Ovis aries: one gene and its partners. The protein of the gene in region 3 purifies or fractionates together with the protein of the main gene of each other region. This does not show direct contact. Links are inferred from orthologs where the notes say so. Each region holds a gene or a part of one and is shown on either strand. Other genes may lie near its edges.

Evidence for each region.
Region 1: the proteins of SLC39A11 (region 3) and GALNT16 purify together in Homo sapiens (co-immunoprecipitation; 3 studies listed by BioGRID and IntAct, counting the BioPlex papers as one, with this or other methods). This does not show direct contact. The link is inferred for Ovis aries from reciprocal best matches to the Homo sapiens genes SLC39A11 and GALNT16.
Region 2: the proteins of SLC39A11 (region 3) and FAM174A purify together in Homo sapiens (co-immunoprecipitation; 3 studies listed by BioGRID and IntAct, counting the BioPlex papers as one, with this or other methods). This does not show direct contact. The link is inferred for Ovis aries from reciprocal best matches to the Homo sapiens genes SLC39A11 and FAM174A.

Annotation. Positions count from the first base shown.
Region 1 is NC_056060.1:79,142,841-79,151,022, reverse strand, and holds the start of GALNT16 (polypeptide N-acetylgalactosaminyltransferase 16), read right to left. Parts: upstream 4,443-8,182; 5' UTR 4,070-4,442; coding exon 3,893-4,069; intron 1-3,892. UniProt on the Homo sapiens protein: Catalyzes the initial reaction in O-linked oligosaccharide biosynthesis, the transfer of an N-acetyl-D-galactosamine residue to a serine or threonine residue on the protein receptor.
Region 2 is NC_056058.1:97,363,476-97,371,999, forward strand, and holds the start of FAM174A (membrane protein FAM174A), read left to right. Parts: upstream 1-3,046; 5' UTR 3,047-3,239; coding exon 3,240-3,682; intron 3,683-8,524.
Region 3 is NC_056064.1:57,584,557-57,592,306, reverse strand, and holds part of SLC39A11 (zinc transporter ZIP11), read right to left. Parts: intron 4,210-7,750; coding exon 4,039-4,209; intron 1-4,038. UniProt on the Homo sapiens protein: Zinc importer that regulates cytosolic zinc concentrations either via zinc influx from the extracellular compartment or efflux from intracellular organelles such as Golgi apparatus. May transport copper ions as well.

The DNA of each region.
Region 1 (8,182 bases), on a different chromosome or scaffold from region 3:
CTGAAGCCTCTACTCTCAGGGAACAGTGCTGGAAAAGTCATCATCTATATTCCCTTCTGCTAGGTAAGCAGGGATCCCTGTGCAGGCTCTAAGGTTACCAGGGGAACTACTCCAGACAGGGGTAGCCCCTCAATTAGCCATAAATCTTACAACTTTGTTCAAAAGAACTCCCTTAAAGCCATTTATCTGCTTCTAGAAATGAAACTATCATCAACGTACCCAAGGGTCCACACACCTTATAAATCATTTCACCCAAATTTATTTATTTAAATAAATCCCAAACATAGCAGGGCTTGTGAGATCTTAGTTCCTGGACCAGGGATCAAACCCATGCCCTTGGTATGGAAAGCACAAAATCTTAAACCACTGGGAATTCCCTCACTCAAATTTAACACACAAAATAACTAAGGTCCAGAGATACAAGTTTTTGTCCATGCTCACTGAGCAGTACCCCACCGATAGGATAAAAAACTCCAGCTTGGGAACACTCTTGCCTAAAACTTCCATGGTTTCAAATAGGAGACCTTGTAAAGGAGTACACCTATCCTAAAAATACCCACAATGGACAGTCTTTTAAAAATATGTCTGTAAAGTGAAATTCCGTGTAACACCTTAGTATCCTGCCCCCCTCTCCATGCCTAATAGAGACTTCACATATGGAAAACCAAACCAATCACAAATGTTCTTCCCGGCTGTGAGGCCCGAAGACTGAAGGCCAGCTGTGTCTGCTCCACCTCCTGCTTTGGCTGCTGTCCAGAGCTAGCGAGCATCAGTGTAGATTCAAGTAGATATCCTCAAATCCACTGCCTTGCCCATAAAGCACAGCATGGAGAAAATCACAGACCCTGCCACCTCGCAAACAGCCATTTACTGATGAAGTCAGTATCTCTCCTTCTTTAGTTTGACAGATTCCATAACCAGTTTTGCACATCAAAATTTATGACACATGGGCTGACAGCAGGACAGAATATTAAAAATCAGGACCTCCCCCAGAAATCTGGGCCATCCGGTTGCCATGCCGACACCCCACAATGCCAAACAAGTGTCTCCAAGGTCCAGAAACAACTTGGCTGGCTTCGGATCACCCAGACACTGTGAAGCCAGAGCTGCCTCCTGGCCCAGGCTGTTATGCAGACCCTCCCTTTCTCAGCTCAGCTCTCTGATCCCTCAGGGGAGGGATGATGACGCCTGTCTGAATTTCCTTAGCCTCTGTCAGCAGAGCTGGCTGCATCATTCCCTAAGAATCTGAAAATCCACGTGCGGCACATTCTGGCCCAACTAGACAGGGACATGTTTTGAAATGGCAAGAAGACCAGTGAGAGGTTAACCATGGATTTCAGACAGAAAGCAAATCTTCAGCTGCACCTGCCCCTTTTAAGCTGAACAAAGGGTTTATCTCCTGGAGAAGCTGAACATACATTCCTCTAGCTCTCTAGTTAAGAGTCAGGCTGGAGCTGGAATAAAGTATTAGTGGGATATGACACTTGGATCATTGATGGCTCCCAGAGATGAGCAGAAATCGTTCTTCACTCATTTAACAGTACTTCTTAAGTCTTGCTGTGCTCATCAAGGTGGGGTTGCATGAAGCTTCCTGCACAGTCCCTGAGTGATAGCTGCCACTCAATGAAGAGACAGGCCGATAGCTGAGAATCCCAATGAAGTGAAATACCCCAGAATATGGGAATGCAAGGCTGTGTCAAAGGCAGGGTGTGACTGGGGATCAACGCCCAGGGAACAGACATCCTGGGCTTAAAGCCTAAGAACAGCGAGGGAGCGGGCTATGCCTGGAGTGGCCGGAGAAGGCTCTGCTGCTCACTGCCGGGAACTTCCACTCTCCCTCTCTTCCTGCACCTCCGTTCCTGGCTCCCCGCTTCTTCTTCATACTTGAAACCCAGCTTCCAGTTCACAGTCCTCTTCTAATCTGCCGCAAGTCCGACCACAAGGGAACAAGGAGAGGACGTTCACTGCAGCTCCCATGACCTCCAATTGCTACCCCCTCAAAATGAGTGCCACCCACATTCAGCAGCGGCCCCCAAGCCCCCGGCACCCTCCGGGGCTCTCAGTCTGAGTGGCCTGGCCCGGATTTTGAAGCGCCGGCACCTGTGATGAGACCAGCCTGGAGCTCTGAGCAGCAGTTAGCTTCTCTGTGCCCTTCCCTTCCATTCCCCCTCATCCCCTCCCCCTCTTCCTCGAGCTCAGACCCTCCTCCCATCACGTCACCACAGAAAAGGACAGAGCATTTGGGCAGTCTGCGTCTCCCCTGCCACTCCAGGCCCGCCTACTCTGGGCCAGAGCTGGCCCTCTTGGAGAGCAGGAACGCAGCAGCTTGGATGAGTCCTTGCTGTGGAAGCTCCCCGGGGTCGGTCAGGGGCCGCTCCTGGTTTGCCCAGTTCTGACTCTGATCTATCTGTCCACCCAGATCCCAACTCTCCAGGATCTTGACCCCGGAGGCTTTTTGCCTCATCAGCCTGTCTGTCCAAACGTCCACAAGTGCTTTGAAAACGTTGTGCTAGTGGTAGGCACCGTCAGCTCAGAGCAGAGCGTTTCACCTAATCAGGGCGCAGTCCCAGAGAGCTCCACCAGAGGGGTAGATGGGCATGGGGGAGTGGGGCTGGGGGAAAGCCCAGGGGCCCCAAAGTCTCCTCAGGCACAGCCTGGAAATGCTCTTTTGCAGGGGATAGCTACTTCTTTCCTGGTAGGTAACAAGACACGGAATCAGGGACAGGATGGGAACACGAGAGCCTTCCACACAACGACAACCTCCCTACAGACAACACTCCGTTTTCCTGGGATTCGGCTGCCTTGGCACGAAGACCTCAGATTCTCCTCCACACAAGCCTTCGCCCTCCTGACCCTGCGCCTCCCTGGGGGGCTCCTCAAGGCCAGGCCTTTCGGAATGGCCATGCTCAGCCCCACACTCCGCTCCCCCAGGCGGCCCCGCCCCTTAGCCCAGACCCGAGGGTCGCCCAAGGGTCTCGCCCACCATCCGCCCCCATACGAAGGACGCGGCCCGCCCGAGCGCGCCTGCCGCGGGTCCCGGAACCTCCCGTCTCAACAGGTGCCCCTGCCACACACAGCTGTCACCCGGGGCCCTGGAGGAGGCAGTGACAGGCACGCCCCAGTCCAGGCCCCCAGAGCGTCGGGAGGGCACTCTTGCACCTCCATCGAGCCCCAGCCATGCCCCGCCGTTCGCACTGACGTCGGGGGGCCAGACACTGCTAGTTCACCCGTGGCGGTGGACTGGTGTTGGGGCGAGGGACGCCTTCAGGACGAGACCTTTCCTGGATCCAGAGAACCCTGGGGGTAGTCGTAGGGAGTCCTCATCACAAGCAGGTTCAAGTTGACCGGGTCTGAGAAGGGGGCTCGAAGTCCAGCACAGCCCCTAGTGACCGTGCCTTACCCAGCGTCCTCACCCCACGTCTTTTGCCCCCAAGAGGCTGGAGAGGGGGAGAACACGGCCACCCACGCGCTTAGCAGCGTGCGGTTCTCACTGCCGCTCGCCGTGCGCAAGGTCCAGCTGCCTTCCCGGACGCATGAGGCGGGGGTAACCCCTAACCCCCAACTCCCGGCCCCTGCGCCCCGGGCCCCGCGGCGCAGTGCCGAGAGCGCCGCCACGTTCCCAGTCGTGTGCGCACGCCGGGCCCACCAAACTTGCAGTACTTTCTCCCAGCCCCCACCCGCTGTCACCCTCCCTCCATCCCTGCGCCCTGGCCCCGCTAGCCCGACTGAGGTTGCCATAACAACGGACAGGAATGCTCCAACGTATACAAAGCCGGCGGAGCGCAGCGGGCACGCAGCCCCCGGCCCGGCCCCGCGCCCTCTGCAGCCGCGCGGGGCTAGGACGCGCGCCGCGGCTCCCCGGCCGCCCACCCCGCGCGCAGCGCGTACTCACAATGAGCGGGATGGTGCGGTCCTCTCGGAGCTGCTCTGGCCTCCCGCCCGCCCTCTTTGCGCCCCGGCCGCCGGAGGATGCTGCGTGGGCTCGGTTGTCCTGCCATAAGTAGTAGAAAGTGCCCAGGATCCAGGCTACGGTCAGAATGGCGATGGCATTGGCGCGGATCTTCCTCATGGTGGGCGGGCGGACGCCCGGAGTAGGGGCCCGGGCCGGCGTGCTCTCGGGGCCGGGGCGGGGGCCACTCTCAGCCCCAGCTGTTTGTTTTCGCTCGCGCGGGGCTGCTCGGTCCTGCAGAGCAGAAAAAGGAGAGAGGTGGGGGGTGGGGGGGTGATAGGGAGAGACAGGAGCGCGGAGCGATCCTCACGGTCCTAATGCCCTTCAGCCCCAGGCGCGCGCCTCCCCCGGGCGCCCATTCATTCGCTCGCAGAGCCGGCCCCGCGCTCCAGCCCCGGCGGGTTGCCGGGCCGTTGCGCCCCGGGAAAGGAGCGCAGCGGATGCGAAGCGGCGCGAGAAGAAGGCCCGGCGAGGCAGACGCCCGCGGCGGAATGGCGACGGGCCAGAGCCAGTCTCGACTCCAACTGCTCCGCGACCGAGCTCCCGGCGCCTGCCCCCGCGCGGCCCGGGTCTGTCCCGCCTACCTCCACCCACTCCCGGACCGAGCGGCCCTGAGTCACCGGCTGGAGATGCGCGACCCCGGCCGGGGCCCGCGCAGCGGAGCTGCAGTTCTGGGGCTGCGCTCTGAACAGGGTTTAAGATGTGTTCGGCGAGTCCTTGGGAAGGGGCAGCTGGGTGCGAGGAGAGTCTGGAGTTTGCATCGGGATCCTCCGCAGCCTAGGATGCCGAGCCGCCAGAGGGCCCGCCCCGAGGAGGGATTGGAAGCCGGTGCACTTGACATTCGAAGAGAGCGAAAGGGAAGAGACGCGGCTTCGCAGCCAGTGAAAGGAGATTGTGGGTACAACCACCTCACCTCTTCCGTTCGCCTGGGGCTCCCAGCGTTCACGATGCTTCCCTCCACCCCGCCTCGTTGTCCGCTGGACAACTCGGGGGTATCGTCGTCACCGTTTCATCAGGAAGAAGGGAGGAGGCCAGAGAGGCTGGAAGATTCGCCCGAGGCCACACGACTAATTAGTGGCAGAGCCCATTCTAGAAACTACCTCTCCGTCTGACACTTAAAGCAAAGTTCAAAACACTGACACAGAAACCAGTGAGATTCTGCCCCGGCTCTGTGTGAACTACTCTCACTTACGAGCAGACAGCAAGGTGGGCTAAGTTAGTTCTAGGAGACCAGCGCAGGATCAGGCATGAAACAGACACTCAGGGAATAGATATTAGATACTAAATAGATATTAACTTAACTAACCAAGCAGAGGTCACAGAGGAAGAAATACTGTACCGCAAGGCAGTCTTAAGGAAAGGCTTCTCAAAGAAAGTGGATAAATTCTTCGAATAAAGTCTTAAGAGGTAGGAAAGGGGAGGACAGGGCAGGGTGTGAGCGCCATGAACAGCCTGAGAAAACGTCCAGAGGATGAAAGTACTTGATGCTTTCAAAGAAGAGAGGTACCTGGTGGTGCTGGGTACCAGGATCTGGAAAGTTCTTGGTGGGAGTTGAGGTTGGCCAGGCTGAGGCAGTCTGGACCCAGGAGGCCCTTGCATGTGAGAGGCAGGGTTGTCAAGGAGTTTGTGTCCTCCTGGTGCTCCTGGACACTGGCTGGTCTGAAAGACCACCTCGGGTCCTGGCCTCTAAATGAAGCTGGCAGATGGTGAGGTCACAGCTCATGCTTTATCCTGCCACCTCCATCAGCACCCCTCCGTCCCTGTTTCTCCAGCAGCAGGACTGAAATGTGCATGTAGTAGACGCTCCATACATTTCCACTGGAGTGAAGTAAATTGAAGGAAGAAAACCTGAGTGGGTTTTCTGGCTGCAGAAAAGTCATCGTTATAACTGCAATATCCTTTCCTCACTCTGAAGTCTCACCACGAGGACAAATCCAAACATGACCCTTGCAAGAATGTGACCCTAAGAAGGGTCATGGACAAAAAAGGATCTCACCAAGAGCTCTGTAAGAGTAGCAGGGAATCTGAGGCAAGAGGAGATGGTAACAGGAGCAATAGGAGAAGGTGCGGGGATTCCTGCCAGCCTTGCTGTCCCCCGTCTGCCTTGCCTGGAGAGTTTAATTAGACTGCAGCAGGGACCAGGATTCATTTCCACAGACCAAGAAAACCACTGTCCAGCCACTCTCTGGTTTCTGCATGAATCATGGGGCAGATCCAGGGGTCATGTTCTGTCTGGGAAGCCAGGGAGACCTTGCTCCTTAGGAATCAGGCCCCACAGGCATCTCCAGACAAGGAGAAAATGTAAGGGAACTGCCATCCTGGTGTCCCCACCTCCATACAGGCTCTCAGGTCAGCCAGATGGGAAGACTCGGAGAATGGCCCTCTGTTGCTGTAGGCTGCTCCCTCCATCAGCCTGGTTTTTGCATGTCTAGTTGCCTTTGGTCATGAAGAACCGGGTAAGAGGATGTGGAATCCAAAGACATCCCTTCAGCATGGGGGATGAAGCTGGATCAGGCCAAACCAAAATCAGGCTGATGGGTTTCTGATGGCTCCAGAAGGAGGGCTCCATGAGGGGAGGGAGGGAAGGAGGATCTGGAATTTGTCAGGATTTCTGTGAGTCTCACCCCTTATTCCCCAGGGCTCAGTGGGGAGGATGCCATACATCTGCCCCAAATTGTCACTGCCTGGTAACTCTGTCCCAAAGACAAACTTCCCCACTCAGGTCAGTTCAGTTCAGTTGCTCAGTCATGTTTGACTCTTTGTGACACCATGGACTGCAGCACGCCAGGCCTCCGTGTCCATCACCAACTCCCGGAGCTTACTCAAACCCATGCCCATTGAGTCAGTGATGCCATCCAACCATCTCATCCTCTGTTGTCCCCTTCTCCCGCCTTCAATCTTTCCCAGCATCAGGGTCTTTTCAAATGAGTCAGCTCTTCGCATCAGGTAGCCAAAGTATTGGAGTTTCAGCTTCAGCATCAGTCCTTCCAATGAATATTCAGGACTGATTTCCTTTAGGATGGACTGGTTGGATCTCCTTGCAGTCCAAGGGATTCTCAAGAGTCTTCTCCAACACCACAGTTCAAAAACATCAATTCTTCGGCACTCAGCTTTCTTTGTAGTCCAACTCTCACATCCATACATGACTACTAGGAAAACCATAGCCTTGACTAGACAGACCTTTGTTGGCAAAGTAATGTCTCTGCTTTTAATATGCTGTCTAGGTTGGTCCCCACTCACTCCTCACCAAAAAAGAAAAAAACCACAGGAGTGTAGCCTCTCTGGGGGGTGTTAGACTTCACAGGCAGCCCCTCTTTAAAAATAAGCACAGGAAACTTCCCTTGGGGGTGGGGGGTGGGGCTAAGGGGGCAAGTGATTTCACGCTCATTTGACCCCCAGAAATTTGATATAGACAGAGGTTGAGTGAAGAGTTGTTAGTCACAGGCACACTGGAAGAGTTGGGAACGCGCAGCTGCCACCGTGGCTACAGCGCATGGTCATTCTTCCAGATTCTAATCCCAAATAGACACAGAACTGAGGCTCAGCCCTCCCTGAGATGGATTTCAGTGTTCAGACCGGGAGCATTGTTTCCTCTCTGGGCCTAGCTAGGAATGACTCCGGCAGAACTGTAGAAGCAAAGCAACACCTAAGAGACTTCGTGGTGCCTAGCAGTAGCAGCAGCAGCGGCAGCAGTGAACTTTGAAACCAACAACGGTTATAATAATAGCTACAGTTCGCTGAGTTCCTAGCAGGTGCCAGCTGTCAGGCCAGGATCTCACACGCATTATCTCTAAAGGCCCTGAAACTTGCAGGTGGCTCAGGGAAGCTCTCAATTGCAGAGAGTCACACAACAGGTGGGTGTAGGGGCTGGGTTCAGTCCCATTTTTCATACCAGTGTCTGGGCACCAGTGCCCGGCTTCTGAGGCCACTGGGGAGTCTGCAGAGTGGTCAGAAGTTCTATGTGCAGCGACCTCACTTCCCGCTCTGGGCCTCCATTTTCTTTTCTGGAAAAGAAGGGATGGAGAGAGATGACCTCCAGGTCATCCATTCTGGACTCCAGCTGTGCCATTTTGGACTTGCAGTTCCTTGGGCATTGTTTCTCTTGAGACATCCCTCTTGGACACAGTCCCCTCCTCTTTAAAAGTGCTGAAACCAGTACTCATGTAAGCTGGGCGAAGTGCTGCATGCTCCTGGCATTCCAAGAGGTCCCAGGGAACTGTCTGCCCCTGAGAA
Region 2 (8,524 bases), on a different chromosome or scaffold from region 3:
AATTGTAAATTAGGAACAATAATGGCAGAATTGTTTAGCATTTCATGAGATCTGGTACACAACAGATAATTAATATGCAATATTATTATTTAATATGGGACCAGGGAGGGAGGGTTAGATTTTACTTAATAGGCCAGTGGTATTTTACACACTTCCATGGAAGACTGCTGTTCTGTCAGCTGGGGTGTTCCCTGATAAATCAGAATAATAGGGGTCTTTTCCTAGTATGCAGATTAATTTAAGTAAGTATAACTTTTCTTCTCTTTTATGTTTTTAAATCTCTCCCGATTGATACAACTTGTTTGCAAGACAAAAACATGTAAATGAACAAGTAGGATTATTATTAAGAGAAAAAATTCAAAAACACCAATTAGTTGGGCATTCTGTCTTTTAAATAGGCATGTGTGCCCCAAATTGTCATTTTATATTATACAAGCAAAATACAATATTTTCTCCCAGGAAACTGGTTCCTAGTTCCTGTGATGGAATTAAAAATATGTTTCATGACAGTTTACAAATAATACAGTATTATGCAAAAATCACAATAATTTGCAGCTTCTCTACCTGCTTAAGATCTCAAGCAATTTAAAAATAATTCTTTGTCAGAAGCAGGGAACAGAAAAGAGTTGATTAATGATAGGGACATTAGGGAAATGGGGAAAAGTTGATAACATTTAGATATAGGTGGTAAGGGAATGGAGAGATTCTTAAATGTTAGTGCAAATAAAAATTACCCTGAGAGCTTAGTAAAATGTATACAGAATCTAGAATAGTGATCTAGAATCAACATTTTTAACAAATTCCATTTCTGATTCTGATTCAAGTAGCTAGCTGCAGAAACACTAGAATGATTAGAATGCTCTAATCATTTGCAATCATTAGTTTAACTCTGCTATTTCAGAATTATTTAATACATTGCCATAACCAGTAAGCATGTTGCAGGTGGAAAGCTAAGGATAAATGATGACTCCAAGATTTTACATCTGAACACCTGAGTAAAGAATAATGGCATTAATCAAGATGAGGAAGACAATGGTAAAACGAGACATTGTAAGGAAGGAAAGATGGTGCTTTTGTTTTATTTTTTGGTGTTGAATATTGGATATTTTGAGGAGTGGAAAGGAGTAGCATTAAATACTAACCTTCCATGTAAGGCTCTGAATAAGATTGTGGATAAGGGAGAGAAGAAACCCAAGGAGCCACTTCATTATTGATAAATGTCCAGGTTGGAAACTAAAATTAGTGTGTGTCACCAATGGTCTTTCTCACACTGGAACCCAGCATTAAGATGCCTAGTCCTGGCAATTCCACATGGGTCTGCATGAGTCTATTACCCACCAGCAGCTAGAAGACACTATACTGACCACCTTACCTACAATAGTCCTTTACACAATTTTTACTACAGACTCTGTACTTGTCATTTTTAACATGCACTTCAAAATAAGAATGAATGTTACTATTATGTTATTTCCATCTGACCCTAAGGGGCTATGAGAGCAAGGATGATATCTTGTCTACTGTTCAATACTCAAATACAGTTCTGAAGGAGTAGAAAGTCTAAAAAATTTGTTGAATGAGGAAGTTTTTAAAAGAACAGATCCTAACTTCAATTTCTGGTCTGTTGTTTTTGTTTATAATCTGGTCACCCCAAAGTTCCATATTACTGATGTCAAAGTTAAACAGGCAGAGACTTATTCAAGACGATCACAACAGAAAAGAGGGGCCAGGACTCTGTCTGAACTCAATTCAACAGAAAGCTTAAGATATTTTAAGAGTAGGAAAACTCTCAGGTCAGTTCTGTTTACCCAAAGGAAATTCCGACTCTTTTTGACCTCATGCACTGTAGCCCACCAGGCTCCTCTGTCCATGGGATTTTCCAGGCAATGATACTTGGGTGGGTTGCCATTTCCTTCTTCAGGGGATTTTCCCAACGCAGGGGTTGAATCCGGGTCTCCTGCACTGCAGGCGGATGCTTTACCATCTGAGCTACTAGGGAAGCCTTCACAAAGGAAAAGTAAAATTTCTCTAAGCTTCGTGACGGGAGGCAGTTTTACAACTTGAAACAAAGCGCCTGCCTAACTTAGGCTTCTATGCTTCCAAGGAGACTGGGAGTTACGGGTGCTGTCTCCTTTTCTGCCATTTTAAAAGGATGACTCCTAGTTCAAGAAAGACAGCCCTGGGTTGTAACACGGGAAAGAACTTTTAAAAAGATTTATATCCCCAAAATGCAGAGAATCAATTACCAGTTACCAATACCTGTACCAATTATTGCTACAGTTAACAGTTTTCTAACGTAACGCTCTAAGGAAAGGGAGGTCAAGGACCCAGAGGCAGGAAAAAAATACCTGATAAAATGTGTACCTGAGCTGAGGGAAACGTCAAGGCGGTCTTTAATAAATGATTAGCTGTATTTATGCAGTTTTGCACCAAAAAACTCAAAGTATGAGCTTCCACTCTTTCCCGGTTTCTTCCTGCAAAGAGTTGCACACTTGACACAACTTTTTCCTTTCTTTCTAGTGCGCCAACCTCCCTGTCTAGTAAAATGTGTACCTGAGCTGAGGGAAACGTCAAGGTGGTCTTTAATAAATGATTGGCCGTGTTTCTGCACTTTTGCACCAACGAACTCAAAAGATGAACTTCCAATCTCTCCTGGTTTCTTCCTGCAAAGAGTTGCTGCACACTTGACACAACTGTTTACTTTTTTTCTAGTGACCTAACAACCCAGTCTAGTAAAATATGTACCTGAGCTGAGGGAAACGCCAAGGCAGTCTTTAATAAGTAACTGGTTGTATTTCTTCAGTTTTGCACCAACGAACTCATATTACAAGCTTCCACTCTCTCCTGGATTCTTCCCGCAAAGCGTTGCTGCACACTTGACACAACTCTCTTCCCGTTTGCTTTCCTTCTAGGGAGCAAACCGCAGGCTCCCTCCCCTCGACTTCCGGAAGTGCGCGGGGCGCAAACGGTCTCACGCGCCTGACGTCACGGAACGCGCCAGCCCCGGAAGGTTAGCAACCGGGAGCGTCCCTAGTAGCAGGGGGCTGCTGAGATGTACGAACTTCCGGTTGTCGACAGCAGCTGCAGCTGCCGCCTCCGCCACCTGCGGCGGGCCAGGTCTTCGCCCGGGCCTCAGTCAGCGTTTCTCCCCCGTCTCTTCAGTTAACACGCCCATGGTCCCGCCTGGAGCCAGGGCGGCGGGCGCCGGAGCTCGCGCGCGGTGAGGGAGCCGGCCGCGGACCATGCAGCCGACGCTCTGCAGCTGCTGCCTCAGCCGCGCCCTGGCCTCGGCGCTCCTGCTGTCCCTGCTGCTGCCCGAATTGAGCGGGCCCTCCGCGGGACGGCCGCCGGCAGCGCGGGCCGCGCCCGACCCCCAGCCCGCGGCGCGCGGGCCGCGCACCCGGCCGCCTCCGCCGCCCGGGCCCTCCGCCGCCCGGCCCGCGGGCCGCGCTCCGGCCTTGGAAGCCGCGGGCTCGCGGGGAGCCGAGGGCGGCAATGGCAGCACGCCCGGGGCGGGGCCGGCCGCCGACGACCCTGGCGGGAAGGCGGGGGCCGGGGGCCCGGCGGGCGGCGTCCTGGCCGTGAGCCCCGACCCCGGCGACAAGCCCATGACCCAGCGGGCCCTGACCGTGCTGATGGTGGTGAGCGGCGCGGTGCTGGTGTACTTCGTCGTCAGGACGGTCAGGTGAGGCGAAGCCTCCGCGAGCCTCCCCGGCAGGCCTGAGGCGCGCTTGTCTGCCGACCTCCTCCCACCCCCTCAGTCACGGTGCCTGCTGAGTGAGATTGTGACGAGGACTGTCTTGAAAGCCTGTGGTACCTTTGGGAGTGTTCAGACCGCCAAGTTCGTGCTGCCTCCCTTTTCATGTGTAAACTATCAATTAGCACCGAACCTCTATATCAATATTTATTTGAGTAAATTGATAGTAATGCAGAATGATCTTTAAGGATGATTTATAAAATGGAAAAAAGAAGTTCTTTTAACAGCAGTTTCCTGCTGTTGACTTTTAACTTGCCACCATCGGTTGTACCTTATGAAGTTTCTTGCTTTCCACCTTTTCTGAACCTGGAAACTGACAACTGCGTAGGTTCAATCATTGTTAGAGTCCCCATTAGAAACATCTAGCATTCATTTTGCATGACACTAAATAATGGACATGAGTTTGAGTAAACTCCGGGAGTTGGTGATGGACAGGGAGGCATGGCGTGCTGCAGTCCATGGGGTCGCAAAGAGTCTGAGCGACTGAACTGAAATAATATGGTGTGAAATATTACCAATTTCTTGATAAGGTGGAAAACTGATACCTGTGCAGCAAAGGGAAAAAAGTCATAAATATGATCCCGTTATAATATTGGAGAGTATGTTTAATATCTTAACAACTATATATGTTTTAACTTTACAAAATTTGGATTAGTAAATGGATAGACTTACTTTTTTTAAACTTCCAAAAAGCTTTTCTAAAATGAATTCATCTGTAAATAATTCTAAGTCATTCAGAAGCTTAAAGTTACAAATGAATAGTTTTTTGAGCTTATTCTTAATATAGAATGTTAGAGAATTAGTTAAATTTCAGATTTGTTACAAATATGGACACTTAAACCACGTCTTTAACTTTACCTAGGATAAAACTAACCTAGGAGAATAAAGTGATGTCCCACGATATATAATAATCATCACTGATTGTACAATCCATCATTTGCTTCGTTTGAATTTTTTTCCATGATGTTTGTGTCCAAATCTGTGATCAGCCTTTTGATTAAATCAGGTCCTTACATTGTACCAGGTTATGAATAAGTAAATGACTATCACTTATTTTTCTACTCCCTTTAATGCCTTATCAAGTAGAAAAGGAATTATATAGGTCAATTGGTGATATTTTATATTGTCGTAAGTAACTTCCACTTGATACGTTCTATTGTTACAGAAGTAAAGTTATATTATGGCATGAATCATGGTATTATAACATGCCAAATATGTAATGAGACCGATTTGGAAAAGTCATGATAAAGCCTCTTTAATTGAGTTGGGGACCACCTCTGAAGCGTTGAAATGCAGAGCTAAGAACTCGCTGTTAGAAGAAGCCGAGAGAAGAGCTAAGGAAGCTCTAGGTAGTTCCCTCCTATTTACTGCGGTAGAGGTAGTTGTGTGGGAAGGTACTGGTTTGTTTTCCAAATTATTTCACTTTTTTTCTCCCCTATAACTGCCTACCTTCAACCATTTCATATATTTCTTTAAATGGATTTACTTAAAGTTTCCTTTTAAACATATCTGTTTATTATTTTGTGAGTGAAAAACATTATTTAAGCGAACATTCCTTGGCTTAAATAACTAACTGAAAAAGCACAGCGTAACAGGGAACCCTGGAGGGTGGTAGGGTTCTCTGAGACCTGTTCAGGTATCTGCAATATTGAAACTATTTTCAAAATAATACATTCCCTTATAAGTTTATGACTTCCCTGGTGGCTTAGACAGTAAAGCATCTGCCTACAATGCCGGAGACCGGGGTTCAATCCCTGAGTTGGGAAGATCTCCTGGAGAAGGAAATGGCAACCCACTCCAGTATTCATGTCGGGAAAATCCCATGGACGGAGGAGCCTGGTAGGCTACAGTCCATGGGGTCGCAAAGAGTCAGATATGACTGAGTGACTTCACTATAAGTTTATAGGACCCAAGAAGTTTATTGATAATAGTTTCAAATTCCGCAGTGCAGCTAACTCATAAGAAACTAACTCTTGTCGCGTTTTGGTGTTCTATCAAAAAAAAAATGTTAACACCAGAATCTGAAAAGCTATTAAAATGTACCTCCATTTTCCAAGCTCACATCTACTGTACCTGGATTTTCTTCACATCCTTCAACTAGACAACGCATAGCAAATGATTGAAGGCTGAAGCAGATATGAAAATCTAGCAGTTTCCTATTTTTCTAATTTCTCTCTCTTCATTTTCTATCTCGTTCTCTCTATTTAAGCCAGACATTAACAAGATTTGAAAAAAAAAAAACCTAAATCTGTGCCATTTTTCACCTTTGTTGGTTTTCTTTTTGACTATATTTTTCACAAAAAGCTATGTTAATCTGTAGTGGATTTATTATCATTTTAAAAAGCAAATGGTATTTAAAATTTTCTTAGGTTTAATTAATATATTACGAATTGATATTTATAATCCACATAATTATAAGCTATTCAGGGTCTTAAATAATTTTTAAGAATGTAAAGCAATTTTAAGATCTAATGCTTGACAATCACTGGTGGAAACATTATTTGAGCTGCCATAGTATAGGTTCACAAAACCCAGCAAATCCAGGCCCACTTTTATTAAAGAGAAAGCTAGAAAATGTTCATGAGGTGTTACAGGCATATAACCACCAAACTGAAACTTTCTTCTTGATATGAAAAAAATATTAGAAGAAAATTGAGCAGTAATTATTCTTCTCAACATGTAATTGTTATTTAATGCTGTATATTTCCCATATAGCATTGGAGTACCCTAAGTATTGTTTCATACACAAAATAAATGATGAGTCTGATGATTGATCTTTTTTTATTTTGCTTTTACCTTATTTGTAATCTTAACATATAAATATTTCTTGCCATGGATTTTCCATCTTCATTTCTGTAAAGCTTATAAGCGTGCAGTCTTTTCAGTCTGATTCTATTGGATGAGTCACTAACATTGTCTGTTAACAGCAAAATTCTGAATCTATGGCTAAGAAAAATTGGACTCTTTAACTAGCATCTAGTACATTCATTCAGGCCAACTCCTAAATATAGTTGGCCCCCTGATGTCCAACTTGATTGATGCTAACAATGTCTGGGCAATGTTCAGAACAGAACTCATTCTTTTTGCTTCCAGATTATGAAAATCATTTATTTTGATGAATATCCATTTTGACTCTCCACTTCCAAAATAGGTGTGGCAACACAGCAGCATTATTTATTTGTGCCAACAGGGAAGAATGGGCCAAAAATCATCCTTTAGTTAACTGATATGAGAAAATACTGAGAATATTTTACTTGTAAAGGACTTGAACTCCATAAAACTTCCATACTGTTTTTAATCTAATTCAGTTATTAAGAATGTGTAACTAGAAGTAACTTCTCCTCTGAGTCTAGAACTATTCCAAAGAAAAATTAGATTCTCCCTGTAGAAATTGTAATATATATATAGAAGGAATAAAATAGGCTTCCTAAGATTAGTATATAGTCTTTACGAAAAGAGACTCTCGTTGTATGTCTTATTCTCGATTATATCTGCAGTGCTGAACATTATGTACAAAATGTGGTAGGCACTGGGTAAGCAGTTGCCTAATATATGAGCATTCTTGGTTCTTAATCAGGGATCAGTGGGTCTAGGGAAGACTCAAAAACCTCAGAACAAAGGCTCTTTACAAATCATTATTTAGCTAAGGCTAAGTACAGTGTTTGCATTCAGGCATTAACTAAATGAACTGGGCTTGATTACACTGAGAAATGTTTGGGTAGGGAAAACAGTTATTTTATTAGACTTTTCAAAGGAAATAACATTTTCCATCTCCTGTGTATTTTTCCTTTAACACTTCCTTCCAATATTAAAGGAATATTAGGTTACTACTTCTCTTAGTTACTATATTAATTAAACACATAGAATGACCCCAGCTAACTTAAACTAAAGGGGATTTCTTGGAAGAATATTGAGATCTCAGAAAGTCAAAATGCAACAATTAGAACCGGACATGGAACAACAGACTGGTTCAAAATTGGGAAAGGATTATGTCAAGGCTGTATATTTGTCACCCTGCTTATTTAACTTATATGCAGAGTACATTAGGCAAAATACTGAATCACAAGCTGGAATCAAGATTGCCGAGAGAAAGTCAATCACCTCAGATATGCCAATGACACGCCCTTACGGCAGAAAGTGTAAGAGGAACTAAAGAGCCTCTTGGCGAAGGTGAAAGAGGAGAGTGAAAAAGCTGGCTTAAAACTCAACATTCCAAAAACTAAGATCATGGTATCCAGTTCCATCACTCCATGGCAAATAGATGGGGAAACAGTGAGAGACTTTTATTTTCTTGGGTTCCATAATCACTGCAGATGGTGACTGCAGCCATGAAATTATGAGACATCTGCTCCTTAGAAGAAAAGCTATAACAAACCTAGACAGTATATTAAAAAGCAGAGACATTCCGACAAAGGTCTGTCTAGTCAAAGCTATGGCTTTTCCAGTAGTTATATATGACTGTGACAGTTGGACCATAAAGAAGTCTGAGCACCGAAGAATTGATGCTTCTGAACTGTGGTGTTGGAGAAGACTCTTGAGAGTCCCTTGAACTTCAAGGAGATCAACCTGTCCATCCTAAAGGAAAACATTCCTAAATATTCTTTGGAGGGACTGATGCTGAAGCTGAACCTCCGATACTTTGGCCACCTGATGTGAAGAGCTGACTCATCAGAAAAGACATTGATGCTGGGAAAGATTGAAGGCAGGAGGAGAAGGGGATGACAGAGGATGAGATGGTTGGATGGCATCACTGACTCAATGGACATGAGT
Region 3 (7,750 bases):
TCCAAGAGGGTCCACAGCTCTCAGCAGAGTCTCCGCGGGACTGTGAGCCACAGATGTTTAAGGATGCTTTTATCCTTGCACTTTTGTCTTAAATATGAACCCAAGTGCCCTGGGTGTGTGCTCACGAACCTGTGTGCATTCTCAAGCTCCAGGAACCTCTGGGAGACAGCACACATGCTAACAAGCTTTCGACGCCCACATTTAAAAAAATAATTTTTTAAAACAAAATGTCATCCCCAGGACACGTAAAACTGAATCAGCCAAGACAAAAAAACTTCAAAAAAATCAATTATCCATTTAGTCACTGTGAAAATCTATCTTAAAACCCAGAGTCTCCGGGAACATCAAAGCTCTAGTTAAATTTTTAATAAACCATGAAGGCAAGTGTTAGAGAAGGGACCTTTTCAAAGGTAGGTTGGTGACAGAGAAGCTCTTGAGACGGTGCTCATCAAAGGGGATGAAGCTGCCAGAAGGTGCTGGTGGGTGTGTGAATTTTCCTTTGGACTGAAGTCAGGAGCTTGAGACTCTGGGATTGGGCCCCACTGGAGTCTTGGGAAGCACATCTATTTATATTTAGATCTTTATTCTTTTTCAGCTGGTTAAGCAAGGAATCTTACGTGAAAGCCACTAACTACTGTGACTGCAAATACAGCATAAGCATAATTCTCTTCTCCAAGGATTGAGAAGTGAACCCAGAATGCTCTTCCCCAATAACGTGTTCAACCTGCTAACTCCAACCTGCAGTTAACAGGTTGAACATGTCTGTGGAGGTTTGGGCACTGCCCTCTGCAGAGCCCTTAGTCTCCCAGTGGGCTCGTCAAGATACTGGGGGTGTGGGACTTCCTCAGAGGTCCAGTGGCTACGATAGTGCATGCCTGAAGCAGGAGAGCCAGGTTTGGTCCGTGGTCAGGGAACTAGATTCTACATGCTGTAGCTAAGGATCCTGCATGCTGAAATTAGGACCTGGCACAGCCAAATAAATGAATTAATTTTAAAATTAATTAATTTAAGAAAAATACTAGGGGTGAGTGTGACCAGATCTTTCCACGGGGGCAAACCCACTTTGGTCCGGTTTGTGCCTGGGGGTCCCACGTAAGATATCATCTCAATCCATACTGAATAGCAAGCACCAGGAAAACAATCAAAATAGCTGACTGTTTTGGGGCAAAATCTTGACTTCTACCCAAAGGGAAAAAGCCAAGAGGGAAATGAGAGGGAAACAGAGGCTGAAAATAAAAGGAGGCCAATCAGCCTATATGATCATAGGATAGACATTCCTAAGATCAGGATAGAAATACTTGAGGAAAATACTTCTCGTCTAGAGGAAAGGCTGAGCCTAAAAAGTAATTAGACACTTGGTCTTTCAACACACTTCATGTCTATACACACACAGATATATGTATATAAACAGACAAACCCACACACATATAAGGTTTTCCCAAGTGGTGCAGTGGTAAAAAACCCACCTGCCAATGCGGGAGACACACGTTTGATCCTCGGTTGGGAAGATCCCCTGGAAGGCATGGCAACGCACTCCAGTGATCTTGCTTGGGAAATCCCATGGGCAGAGGAGCCTGGGGGGCTACAGTCCATGGGGCCACAAAGAGTCGGACACCACTGAGTGCCTGAGCACACACATACACATATACATACATGTGTGTGTGCGTGAGTGTGTGCGTATACTGGAATACATAATGTATTGAAATTTCCCTTCTTTAAAAATGACCCCCAAAAATCTTCATTGCACAAGCAAAAGAATTTCAAGTTACCCACCGAGGGATAAACTCGGTTTGGCTGTGGCCTTTTCTCCCACAGACTGAAGCCAGAAGATAACGGTATTCACAAGGGCTTCAAGGAGAAATATGTGCCCCTGGCAAGCTCTGCCCAGAGCAGCCTTCCCTCCTGTGTTGGGGTAACAGGGTGACATTATGAACTCTGCAAGGACTCACGTAATATATCACCCGGGGCTGATCCCTGAACAAGGTTATCACTCAAACTTGAGCTTCAAAACTACAAAAGATGAATCAGAACATTTCAGAATCCAAGACTGAAGGAGCGAGGGGACTTCTCTGGAGGCCCAGTGGTTTAGAATCCACCTGCCGGTGCAGGTGGGGGTGTTCATCCCGGTCAGGGTACGAAGATCCCACACGCCTCGGGGCAACTAAGCCTGTGTGCCAGAAACTACTGCAACCCAGACCCAGCACAACCAGAAACGAAGTTAAATAAATACTTTCAAAAAAAGATTGAAGGAATCAGGAGCATTATTAATGCTAATAACAGCTTCCACTTTCACATGCTCAGACGGCTCAAATACTGTATATACTGTGTATATACACATATAATCTTATTTATTTATCAAAATTAGTGTAGTTCACTTTGTAAAGAATAGCCCAGTCATCTCAGTCATAGCATTATCTCCACTTTATAGACGAGAACACTGAGATTCAGAGAGCTCAAGCCATTTGTCAAGATAAACTATCCCTGGTGGCTCAGATGGTAAAGCATCTGTCTACAATGTGGGGAGACCCGGGTTCGATCCCTGGGTCAGGAAGATCCCCTGGAGAAGGAAATGGCACCCCACTCCAGTACTCTTGCCTGGAAAATCCCATGGACTGAGGAGCCTGGTAGGCTACAGTCCATGGGGTGGCAAAGAGTCGGACACGACTGAGCGACTTCACTTCACTTCACTTCAGAGATGGAATTCTAAAATGTAACACAAGGGATTCCCCAGCATCCCTCAATTTGGCTTTTAATATCTTCTGTATGTTTATCTGTCTTTTCTAGTTATTCTATATAAAACACATTATTTTTAAAATAGAACACCAACAAGTTTTTTTTTTCCCAATGAAAATAAATCCAAAGACATGAAACAAATTAGTTCAAAATGCTAAAAAGGAAAGATCGCAATGCAATCGGGAGGAACCTCTGTATTCTAAGTCAGTCACTAAAGGGATGTGCCTGTAAGCTTAAATCATACATAACACAGGACTTTTCTGATGGCCCTCTGCAGCTTCCTCTGCAGGGAGTACAGGTTATTAATCTGCCTGGCCCATCTTTGGGAACCCTGCGTCTCAGGTGATGAGCATCCTGACCAGGCTCACCTGTGAATGACTGCAAGGAGGAGGAAGGGACACATCCCCCCGGAGGCTGACCAGAACCAGGAAACAAATGCTCTCCCTTACTCTCTCCCCTTTCAGTATAAAAGAAGCCTGAATTCTAACTCAGGCAAGATGGTTCTTTGGGACATGAGTCCACCATCCTCCTGGTTTGCTGGCTTCCCGAATAAAGTTGCTATTCCTTGTCCCAACAGCTCACCTCTTGATTTATTGACCTGCCGTACAGTGAACCTGGACTGAATTCAATACTTTAACAGAGCATCAGGGGGACCTGCCTGGTAGTCCGGTGGTTAAGAACTTGCCCTTCAGTGCAGACGATATGGGTTTCATCCCTTAGCCCGCGTGCCACAACTAAGACCCAGTGCAGCCAGAAATAAACAAACATTTTTTAAAAATTTAAAGCTTTAAGAAAAGCCAGAGATATTCCATGTTTAAGAGAAGCAACAGCTAATGAATCTGTGCCCAAATAACTTGGTATCAAATATGCGAAGAAAGGAACTCAGAGGTGGACGCTAGAGTGAAATTGTCTGCAGTAACTGGAACAGGAAGTTGGAACATACGATGGCCAATCCGGAGCCAGCAACCCGAAAGAGAAACTCAGGAAAGATTGGCGCTCCCTCCCCGACAGCCCCCTGGAGCAGGGGTCCCCAGCCTCCGGCCAGAGACGGGCACCTGCCGTCAGATCAGCGCAGCCCTAGATTAGACATGAAGTGCACCAGGAACGCGGCGCACTGGAATCATCCGCAGACCATCCCCACAGCGCCGGTCCACGGAAGAACGGTCTTCCGCTAAACCGGTCCCAGGTGCCGAGAAGGCTGGGGACCACTGGAGAAAGGACCCGCACCACGGCTGCCCAAGCCCCTCTTCAAGTCGCCGAGCCGACAGAGATGCGCCCCCTGCGGACGCTCGCGCGGGCTCTCACCTGGGATGTTGTGGATGGTGATGGCCAGGATGAGCAGCGCGATCCGCCTCCAGCTGCTGCCGCCGGGCTGCGCCGCACTGCCCCGAGGCGGCCCGGGGGCGGCGGGGCCCTCCGCGAGGTCGGCGGCCACGGCCCTCTTCCTCTGATACGCCTCGCCGTTCTCACTCTTGTCTGAGCAGAAAGAGAGGGACATAAAGAGAGAGCCGTTAGAAAGAAGGCACGTCAGGATTCGGACAAGCAGCGGCGAGGGGGAGCTTGCGCTACCGGACGAGGTCTATTTCCTAACTTCCTAATGCAGCCATCTGGTCCTCCACGCCTTCATTCATTACTCTGTTCTTAGGGTCAGATTATCCCAAATACTCATGGTTTCCCAAATGCCCAGATTATCCCAAATATCCATGGGTGATTTATCTGATTCCTAATGGAGGCAAACTGCCCGGCTCTGAAATACGGGAGAGCAAGACGGAGACAGAGAATACAGGCTGCGGTTCGCAGCCCCTTACCTATCAGGGAGGCTTCCTGGGGAGGAGGGTCTTGATCAAATCTTAAACCCGCAGTGGCACAAATGGAAAGGAGAGTCTCTCCATCATCTGAGCCTGCAGACCCTGACACGGATGACGCAGACAGGCCATCAGGTCCCGTCGTTGGGACGTCCACCGTGAGCAGGAAGGCCCAACAGCCCAGTTTTAATCGAACCCGAGTCCCCTGCACTGGCAGGCGGATTCTTACCCACTGCTCCACCGGGGGAGGCTAGGACCATCTTTCTTGCCTCCGATATTAGATCGTCTTTGTGTGCGTATGCACAGGTGTGTGCTTCTCAGCACACCTCGTTTTTGTTTTTTTTTTTTAATTGTTGACAATACCTGATAACTCAGGCTACAGAGACTTGTCCTGGAACTGAACAAAACACGTGGGCTTTTAAGTCCATAAACACCAAAGACACAAGCAACCAGACCTGAGTGCAGGGCAAAGAGGAAGCTATGCAGTGATGGGGGGCACTCAGCTGTCTCTGGGGCCGGTCAGTGGACACCCCGGACGCCCAGACTCCCCTCTGAACACACAGCCCCAACAGGGATGCTCTCTGGTGGGAGTTGATAGAGACAAAATAAAACAAATAACTCTTCCCTTTTGGATTTTCATAACTTCAGGAAGGACAGATGGTTGGACACAGACCACGCCCTCGAATCAAAGGGACAGAAGTGCACTGTCCCAAACAAGCACGGGGGGCCCACGCTCATTCCTGTCCCCGTCACAGAAGGATCCGACTCTGGGTCTCCTGCAAGGGACGCACAGACAGCAGTGGAGCCGGGGGCCTCGTGAGCAAATTCCAGCACCAAACACGTGTGTGACAGGAACGTTGAGAGGTGTAAAGTCTGATGAACCGAGACGAGGATGCACCGAGACGAGGATGCGCGCCTCGCCTCGGGGTCCTCGCCGAAGTGTGAGCGCGGCTGTGGCTGCCTCTCGCTGGTGGGAAACGGCAGGGTGCAAGCGCCTGATGTGCTGGGAAAGGTAAATAAGCCAGCATTTGATAACAGCCACTAATGAGCCTGCAACGAGGAACATTAGTCCAGATAAATCATCGCCGAGAGGAGGGGTGCGTCCCCAGCTGTGAATGTTCTCGCCTCTCCTGGGAAGGCTGGTTAAATCTTCACACTCTGTCTAGTAAGATGCCAGCACCGCGGATGAAGGGTGACCCCTTAACAGAGGCAACAGCTGAGCCCAGCGTGGGATTAGGGGTCGACCCGTGAGATTTCCTGGGAGAGGAGAGGTCTGGGCACTTTTCAAGGAGGATTCGGCAAAGGGGAAGGACGTTTTGCGGAAGAAACAGCCAATGTCGGGTTTAGGAATGAAAAACCTCACCAGTGACATGGTGGGTAATACTAAACACTTAGTCTCAACAAATCCTCCTTCCTTCCAAAAGCCCCATGAGGTAGAGACGATCCCCTTCAACAAACGAGGAACTTAAAGAACGGAGAGGTAGAGCACCTGGTTCCAAGTCACAGTCCTGAATTCCGAGTCCCGAGTCCATCTTGGGTGCAGGAGTCGAGCTGGGTCCTTTGCCTCCAGAAGCCACCTCTTAACCAGGGCCCTGCGGTTGACTGGGAGCCGGGGGTGGCGTGGTGACCTACCCCTTTGCTCGCAAGAGTGTGTGTTAGTCGCTCAGTCATGTCCGACTCTTTGCGACCCCATGGACCGCAGCCCGCCCCCAGGCTCCTCTGTCCCTGGGATTCTCCAGCCAAGAATACTGGAGTGGGTTGCCATTCCCTTCTTCAGGGGATCTTCCCGACCCAGGGATCGAACCTGGGTCTCTGGCATTGCAGGCAGATTCTTTACCATCTGAGGCACCAGGGAAGCCCCAAAGCATAGCAAAGCCAGTCACCGCAGTGACATTTAGGAACTTGAAATCCAAGACACTTAAGTTCAAAGAGACCCAGTGAGCCTGCATCATCAGCGGCAGAAAAGGCTCCGTGGAAACCCCTTTTCTATAATCACTCCCGCTGGTCAACAAACCCGAAACCGTGAAGACACTATTTGTTAACCCGTTAGATCTACTGTTTTAAGTATAAAGCCGCTGTCGGTAGGATATATTTATTAACACCAAGCCAGGGACACTGGGTTACAATCCTTTAAGGAAGGTGGAAAGGCTTCAAAGTTGCCCATCATCAAAACCCATTGTTTTAAAAATTTAAACTCAAGCATCTACGCATCCACACTGAGAAGGGGCCCGCCCAAAGCCGGGGCTCAGCCTGCCTCCCCGCTCTTCATCCTTCCGGGGGAGGCACCCCATTGCTAAATGTGGGAATGAGGACCACAGGGAACAGACAGACCAGACCAAGGCTCCTTTTCCAGCTGAATCACGAGGTGACTTTATTACACACACTTTGTCCCCTGCTTTCTTCTCCCCCAAACAAGGGACGTGATGCTTGGACCAACACACCGTACTGTACAGCAAAAAAACAGAGCTGGGTCTGGTGGGCACAAGCTGGGGAAGTTGCGGGGAGAGGAGATAAGCCCCCTCCCCTCGGGGTGTGACCTCCTCCCCCGTGAAAGGGCCTGATGTCCTCAGATCACAGGCTCTGAATCACTTTCCACCACCGATGCTTTAGAAACTAAGGTGGGACTTCCTATCGCCTTTCCAGTTAAAAAAAAAAAAAAATACAAGGATGATTTTGGAACAATGAGTCCTTACGGATTCAAGGCCCTCAGACAGATTTCATCTTGCTAGATAAATGCCACGGTAACCTTCATTTCGTCCCCCATGGGCCCAGACTCAGCAGGGACAGGATGTTTGCCGCCTCTGTGATGATGTAACCGACCAAATCCATCAATAATAGGCCCAGAGATGGACGTTCGGCCACCAGAGAATAAAAGGAACACTAATTAATAGATCAACAGCCACAAGAGCTTTAGGAATGTCCCTAAGATATTACTGGAGATGATCTGGTTGAATTAGCACAAGTAGGCAAATTCTCATCCGCTAAACACAGAAAGCTTCAGGTCCCTGGAAGAAACTCCTTCTCCCTAAATCCTTGCTGTGCTATGCCTGTGTTCAGTCATGTCCGACTCAGCAACACTGTGGCCTGTAGCCAGCCAGGCTCCGCTGTGCACGGGGTTTTCCAGGCAATAACACTGGAGTGCTCTGCCATTTCCTCCTCCAGAGGATCTTCCCCACCCAGGGACTGAACCGCGTCTCCTGCATTGGCAGGTG